Linked DNA regions of Tribolium castaneum. The protein of the gene in region 1 purifies or fractionates together with the protein of each later gene. This does not show direct contact. Links are inferred from orthologs where the notes say so. Each region holds a gene or a part of one and is shown on either strand. Other genes may lie near its edges. The genes, in order: retinoblastoma-like protein 1 and Dp.

Region 1 (3,924 bases):
TGTTAAACGTAACGGGCGTCTACATCAAGAGAGTGTCAAATGGCTTGTATATTTTAATGATAATGAAACTCTTATTTCTTGCAGCAAAGACTCAAATGTGTCAATATTAATACATTATATCGGAAATAAAAACAAGCCGTACATTTTCAAGATACAAAAAGTAAGTAACACAGTCACTGTTACGAAAGTTGTCATATTTATTTATTAAACCGCTAGGGTTGTAACTGTTTTGCATTAAGCAGAATACGTAAGATACTAGCCACAGGAAGCGAAAATTCTGTTCTGAGATTGTGGAACCCTATTATTACCTCAAAACCAATCGCAATTTTGAAAGGACATCAAGCACCGATTATGGACGTTAAAATATTGGATAAACTAAATTTACTTATTAGTTGTTCAGCTGATGCAGTATATTTTTCTATTTTGCATTTAATTCTATTTACTAATTTTTGTATAATTGTTGTAGATGTTTAAATTATGGGATTTGGAAAAACAAAAGTGCATTCAAAGTTTTTCTATCAGTTTCCCGTCTTTTAAAGTGTTTGGAAAATTAATTGAATGGGGAATTGAATGCATTTATCCCGGCCCTAAACGCACTTCCTTTAATGAGATTGAGATCGAACTTTTTGAAAGATCACCACTGTTAATCACTTGTTGCAATCACATCGCTGTTATTAAAATAGTAAATCAGAGCAACGAAATACAGAAAATTGTTGAATCGCAAGTTTTGCCTCCACCTCCTCTACAAAATAGTGTTTTGATTCCAAAAATGTGGAGAACGTCTGATAGTCCCGAAACAATAAATAAGTATGATTTTTTTTCTAAACCTCGTTTTTTATTAAATTGTTAACGCTATTACAGAGAAGAACAGTTTGAAGAAGCAATTGATGACAAATTTCTCAAAGAAAAAATAAAAGAGTTGGAATTTATTCTAAAAAAAGACCTGTTTGCAAATGATGGCTCAAGTAAGAGCGATATCAATTTCAAAATTGCGACATTAGAGCGAAAAAAAGTGCAGGCATGTATAGCAATGAATTGATTTTATTTATGTCAACAAATAATATTTAGATGCGAGAAAACGTTGCACGCGGTGCTCCCTATTTAGCCCTGGAGCTACCCGAAGTGAGCGACCTATACCTAACACCAAACTTGCCCGTCCCTGACAAAAAGAAAACGAAAAATATTGTGGAAAAAATCGAGAAAGTTTTACAAGACGCCAGTTACAAGGACTTGGTATTTTCGGAACCCTCCTCCAGCCGCTCGCCACGGTCCTCACGAAGCAGTGTTATTGAATTTGACTAGTATCACTGTAATAAAAATTTTTGTAATAAAAATTAAAATTCATCTTGCGCGCGTCCCCAAGCCAGCAGGTGAAGCTTCCACTAATGCGAAACTTCCCTAAACGGTGTTTGTGTTTGGCGCTAAGAATTGGCGGGAAAGCCCATTTCTCTCCCCTTTTCGTGCCCACAGCAGCTGTATTGGCACATAGTGTCCTAATTAATTAAAGTGTGGCTAAAAACTTGCAAAGTGCTTCGATTATAAAGTTACTGGTAACTTTCCAAATTTGGGTTTGAGGTTACCCTCCATGCGCAGTCAAAAGTAGTTCTGGCTGATCGACAAAAAACTGTGTACGTATTCGCGCGTAAACGCCGAAATATTTTGGATTTTAGCGGCATTTCCTCGTCGAAAATAATGTGCAAAGCGGGAAAGTCGGGGTTTGAGCGTGATTGTGTTGTTTTTTAGTCGTCTCTTGTGTGGATTCCCGCCTTTTGTAGGCGTTGTCAAGAGCTCAATGGTGGCTAGTGGTGCGAAATTGTTTAGCAGCGGTTTGTAATTGTTGGAAATCATGGTGTTATCAAGCGAAACCGAAGAATTGGAGGAGAAACACTCAGAACTGTGCAACAAACTGCACCTGAGCCAACAGATTTCCAGAGACGCTTGGGAGCGATTTGAGACAATTAACAAGAATTTCACTCTGGAGGTGAGTCTCAACCCCTTAAATCACTGCAAACTATCGGGATTTTCAGGGGGAGCCCCTCCACTGGATAGGGTGTGCAATATACGTGTCGTGTTGGAAGTCCATCGCTGCAACGGCTGCACAAAATAGTGTTCACACGAATTGTGTTAACTTGACCAATCTTCTGCGTCATTGTAACTTAAGGTCAGCCAACAACAAACAGTCTTTGGGTTATTTTTAACGCATGGTTACAGCATAGCACAGTTCTTTTACAAAATCAAACAATGGTCGGACATGGCCAGCATGCCTGAGGAGTTCAAAAAGCGGATTGAGTATCTGGAAGGGAGCTTCTCTGTGGCTTACAACGTTTTTAAAGAATACCAGCCTCTCTTTATGCAAATATTTAAGGCACCTAAAGCTCCAGAAGCGCACGAACTGGACACAAGTAAACACAGAAACCGGAAAAATAAGTAAGAAGTCTCTCTAAACCAATTTATTTCAACTACGAAATTGTATATTTTAGACCTGTGCCTTCGTCCCCACTCAAAGTCTTCGAGTTTTGTTGGACCTTGTTTATCACAATAAAAAGTGAAGACACGAATTATAACAACGACTTGGTCACGTCGTGTCATTTACTTATTGCCATTTGCGACTGGGCGTTCAAACATGCGCTCCAAGCCGACCGCAAGGATCTCCTAAACCCCGACTTTGCGGGCCTGCCTGAAGACTTCGCCCAGCCCAGCTATGTGCCCCCTTCGGAGGCCCCTTGCATCGTCAGCTTACTGTGCCCCAGTCCGAACATAATCACCGACCTGAAGTACGTAAAAGAGTACCAGTTCAAAAAATCGATTCGGAATTATCTCGACCAAGGCGTCTTGATTGAGAACGACCAAGGCGATGTCTTGGACACCTCGGTGTTTGACCATAATTACAAAAGCATTGGGAACGTGTACGAGAAAAATATCCTGAATAAGAGCGATTTTGACGAGCGCATTTTCCTGGGTGAGTGATTTTACAGCTAGTCCAATCATATGGCGAGCCAGCTGCGCAAACAGCTGACTGTCTTACCTGAACAGATGCTCCTGACCTTGCCCTAACACCTGTTTCATTCCAGCTGAGTACAAAAGAAAACTTCTAGTGAGAGACCAGAGTGTGGCGCAAAATGCAGGTAATTTGAATCGAGAAATCTATGATCAAACAATTGAATTTTGCAATTTCAGCTGACAACGCAAGTCCGGAGTTATCGACCAAAGAAATGGTATTTTATTTTTGTGTGTGGTATTTTTTTTACGTTTGTTAATAGGTTGTTAGTAAAGAGTGTTTGACGCCGCTCACTGGCCGCAAATATTTGGGCCCGAAGGAGTCGCAAGAGTCGACTCCGCTTGTGACAGCTACTGAAAGCATTTCAAGGCTTAATAACTTGCTTCATGGGCGCCAGCCGGCCCCCAGTGAGGCTTTAGTGCAATTGTTTGAGTAATTATGACGCCCAGAGTGGTTGAACGTGTCTATGATGATGTTTTAAGGTCTTGTGCTCGCAATCCAACTGAGAGAATCAATCAAATTGTTACAAATTTGGGGGAGAGGTTTCTGGAAGGCCACCCAGTTGACCAAAGAGAAGTAGCACAAAGGCGACTGCAGCTCGCGACAACTTTGTTTTATAAATTTATTGAAAGTATTCTGCAGAATGAGCGCTCAATACATGCTGATTTATCGGTATGTTTTTTAATTATTATTTGTTCTGTAGTATTTTTATTGTTTTTTTAGGCCATTGTGGAAAAAGACGTATTTTACGAATGTATGTTTGCTTGTTGTTTAGAAATTGTTATTTATTCATACAATAGTCGGCAAAGGTTCCCCTGGATATTGAAAGCACTGCAAATACAACCATATAATTTTGTTAAAGTGATTGAACTTATCATTCGCTCAAGAGATAAGCTTTCAAGGGACACTATCAAACACCTTAATAT
Region 2 (3,431 bases), on another chromosome or scaffold:
TTCGAAGGTAAGGTTATGTAGTTGATTAAATTATTTTCTCTTTTTTTTTCATAAATAAACAGATTTGAAGAAGGAATAGATAGTACAATGAAACCTGCAATTGTTGCGGATGAGATGTTTCCAGAAGGTGCAGGTCCATATATGGATCTAGAGGAGGTATTAGGATTCTTTGTGGCTCAGTTGGAAACACATTATTTTGTTATTTTAGGCTGGAGGTTCCAGTGGATTACTAATGGACCTTGCTGCGAACGAAAAAGCAGTCCACGCTGATTTTTTTAATGGTAAGAATATAGAGATCAAATGCTAAATGAATTGTTAGTCTTTCAAACTTTGTGCTGTTTCTGAAATCGGATTTTTGTATTTAAACATTGATACAACCTATGGGATTTTTCGGGCACTTTCAGAAAACACTCAGCTACGTTTTGTTTTTCAGATTTTGAGGACCTCTATGATGATGAAGACCTCAACTGAGCTTTGATTATGTTCTTTGGTTCTGACGTTGCTAACTTGGTCTAGATGTAAAATTTTGGGTTAATAGATGTGAAAGGAAAAGCGTATTAATTTAAATGATTTATTTTTTACAAACTGGAGTCTATTGTAAAGTCAAGAAAAACTTAGTTTTATAATTAACAACTAAAATTAAGTTTTATAAATAACAATAAAAAAGGAGTATATAAAAGATTTAATCTTATTATATACAAAAGAAACCTAAACAGCTTTCCGCTCCTGTACTTATTTACAAACCGTCAAAAGAATAAAGAATTACTCAACTTCGAAGCAATCTAAACTTTTAATCTTTTTTTGGAATACTCTAATCAAAAAATATTGGTCCACTACAAAAATCTGACCATTCCTTTTAAACACATTTAAATTACAAGCACTTGTTATCACAGGTGCAAATTTATTTGCAAACAAAGAGAAGAATTTATACAACATAAAGTATATTTTGTATATACATGTATTAAAGAAAATGTTGAAAAAAGTTAATCACTAAACTAATATTAATGTACAAAAACGTACCTGTATAATCGTTGGGTTGGACAAAAGCTACCCACATTGCCACAACCCCCGACAAACACTCCCGCCTTTTGTCCAACGCAATTAAAATCGACGAATAAAATTTAGTACTTAACAATAATGTACATAAAATAATGAAATACGATCGTCTCTTACTGCAATCACATGGACAGACATTGAGACACTGTAGAATAAACACTAGTTCAATTCAATGTCACTGGACATGTCCGAATCCCCCTCGTCGTCGCTGAAGTCGGGGGCACCTGGAGAGAGGGGATCGCTGGAGGACTGGTGCGAGTTCTCCTCGTCCAGAGTTGTCTCGACGAAGTCTTCAGTCAACATACTGCTTGTACCAGGGGCCTCCACGTCCAATAAAGCTTCAGTTTCGTCAGCAGCCCCAAACGCCAATTCTGAAAAACAAGGTGAGGTTTTATAACAAAAGGGACATACGTACGATCTACGTAGCTTTCGAGCGACTTTGGGACCATCTTTTTGATCCGTTCCAAATTTTCGGGGGTGCATTTCCCACTCTCGAGTCCTACAATCAACAATAAGACACGTTTCCCTCACGAAAAGTAGTAACATACCCATCAACATCCCAATTGATTTCAAGACTTCCACGTCGTCTTTAATCTCGAATTTGTCGTTGAATTTAAACACGTATTCTTTCCTGCAAAACACGCTTACTAATTGGATAATTAAACTAAGACACTTACTTGTCGTTTGAGATGCTGCAGTCGATCTCAGTCTTTTTATTTGTGCTTATGATAAGAAAAGGCAACTGAATGTATGAACTCGGGGCTGGTGGTCCGTTGATTTCTTCCATTTCTCTGTTCCTCTGAGCTAAGTTCTTAAACGAAATTTGGTTCAAAATCAATTCTTGCAACTGCTTCTTCTTCTCCCTGATCGAGGCGATTTTTTTAAGCTTCTCCCGCTCCAACTGCATGCACTCTTGGAGCGAATTTGTCGGTAACCCAATCCACCTGATTTCTTTCTTTTCTTTGGAAATTATGTTCATGGCCATTAGTACGTTTAAGGCATCGTAAACTCTTCGTCTGATATTTTTTTGGTCATACTGCAAAATTCTCGTTACAACACAACTCTGGTTTCCAACTATGACTAGTACCTGATCCGCCAATGAGTTATTGCTGGATGCGCTCGTGAATTCCCCTACTAACTCATCTGCCACTTCATTGTACGTCGTTTTGCCTTTTTTCCTCACCTTTTCGCAAACTTTCATCGAGAAGTGGCGCAGGCCTTTGCCGACCTTTTCCGACTTTCTGCTTCGTTTTCTAACACAAAGCATAAAGAGAAAAAAATAATAAAAAAAAAAAACAGTAAACTTACGAATCGTGTACGAAATCTAGCTCAATCGGATCGGCCCTTTTTCTTTGCAGAATCGGCGGCGAATTGTTCTTGTTTTGGACTGTGTGTGTTTGTTGTACAATTGGTATTGCCGTTGCATTTTGGCTAAGTTGCAGTTTCTGGTTATTTTGCGTAACAAATTTTATACTTTGCTAAAAATATCAACTTGTTACAAATGCTCGCAAGACATTTAACTCTCTACCATTTGAGTCGGCGTTAAACGAAATGTTTTCGTTCCTTTCGGGATTCCACTGACCTGAAGCGTGCTACCTTCTAAAAAATTTAATAAAAATCGGTGAACCGCAAACTCTAATTAGCTTACTTGTTGTTACGAATTTTGGAGTCGTTGCTATTGTTCTTATGATTTGTTGCGACGAACCTGTAGTGCCATACACCTACAGGGAGAAGCAGTGTTTTAAACGTGTACATATTTTAATGGATAAACAATTAGGTGATGAAAGTGGGCGTCGATGTAGGAGGGTATAATAACAAAGCGATAATTGCAAGGAAGAGTGTGACGTTGGATTAAATTAAAAATATTGTAAACTGGATTAAAGGTGTGACAATCATCACGCGATCGTGTCCTTGGGAAGCCACAAATGACTTCTTCGAATTTTTTTGACACGATCTCTATCAGGATATTTTGTTGCTATTTCAACACAAAACCAATCAAATACCTAAAGCCTTATTTATAATTTCGCTCCGGTTTGTGGCAATTTGTGTTGTGGTGAGATTAAATACAACACATTTGTTATCTACATTAATCGTGGGTTGGCTTTATCTGTAAAAGCTTGAAAGCAATCAAGAAAATATTGCCAGTCTATCCACGAAAATACTTATTTACACTTTATGCGTTCGGCTTAAAAACAGACATGAACACTGTTATCTAGGGTTTTTTATACCTAGGAAAACCTTATCTGTTATCAAAGTCGTAAATTTATTGCTACCGAATTAGGATGAAAGGTGCAACAATGATCTTACTTAAAATAGCATATAAACAAGCGTAAATGTAAAAAAAAGTAAGTCCAAAGTTAAATTATATCCACTAC

The links.
Region 2: the proteins of retinoblastoma-like protein 1 (region 1) and Dp purify together in Drosophila melanogaster (affinity purification with western blotting; 4 studies listed by BioGRID, with this or other methods). This does not show direct contact. The link is inferred for Tribolium castaneum from reciprocal best matches to the Drosophila melanogaster genes Rbf and Dp.

What each region holds. Positions count from the first base shown.
Region 1 is NC_087396.1:19,756,371-19,760,294, forward strand, and holds the start of retinoblastoma-like protein 1, read left to right. Parts: upstream 1-1,428; 5' UTR 1,429-1,846; coding exon 1,847-1,981; intron 1,982-2,027; coding exon 2,028-2,161; intron 2,162-2,211; coding exon 2,212-2,427; intron 2,428-2,480; coding exon 2,481-2,959; intron 2,960-3,071; coding exon 3,072-3,125; intron 3,126-3,177; coding exon 3,178-3,215; intron 3,216-3,260; coding exon 3,261-3,430; intron 3,431-3,480; coding exon 3,481-3,670; intron 3,671-3,721; coding exon 3,722-3,924. Other genes in the region: WD repeat-containing protein 64, read left to right, coding at 1-160, 217-408, 467-807, 862-1,018, 1,069-1,302.
Region 2 is NC_087398.1:7,912,010-7,915,440, reverse strand, and holds the end of Dp (transcription factor Dp-1), read right to left. Parts: intron 3,402-3,431; exon of another isoform or gene 3,254-3,401; intron 2,778-3,253; coding exon 2,705-2,777; intron 2,656-2,704; coding exon 2,585-2,655; intron 2,535-2,584; coding exon 2,365-2,534; intron 2,310-2,364; coding exon 2,144-2,309; intron 2,093-2,143; coding exon 1,734-2,092; intron 1,688-1,733; coding exon 1,605-1,687; intron 1,556-1,604; coding exon 1,472-1,555; intron 1,428-1,471; coding exon 1,216-1,427; 3' UTR 558-1,215; downstream 1-557. Other genes in the region: Myeov2 (uncharacterized protein LOC100302525), read left to right, coding at 1-7, 63-156, 209-281, 434-471. UniProt on the Drosophila melanogaster protein: Component of the DREAM complex, a multiprotein complex that can both act as a transcription activator or repressor depending on the context. In follicle cells, the complex plays a central role in the site-specific DNA replication at the chorion loci.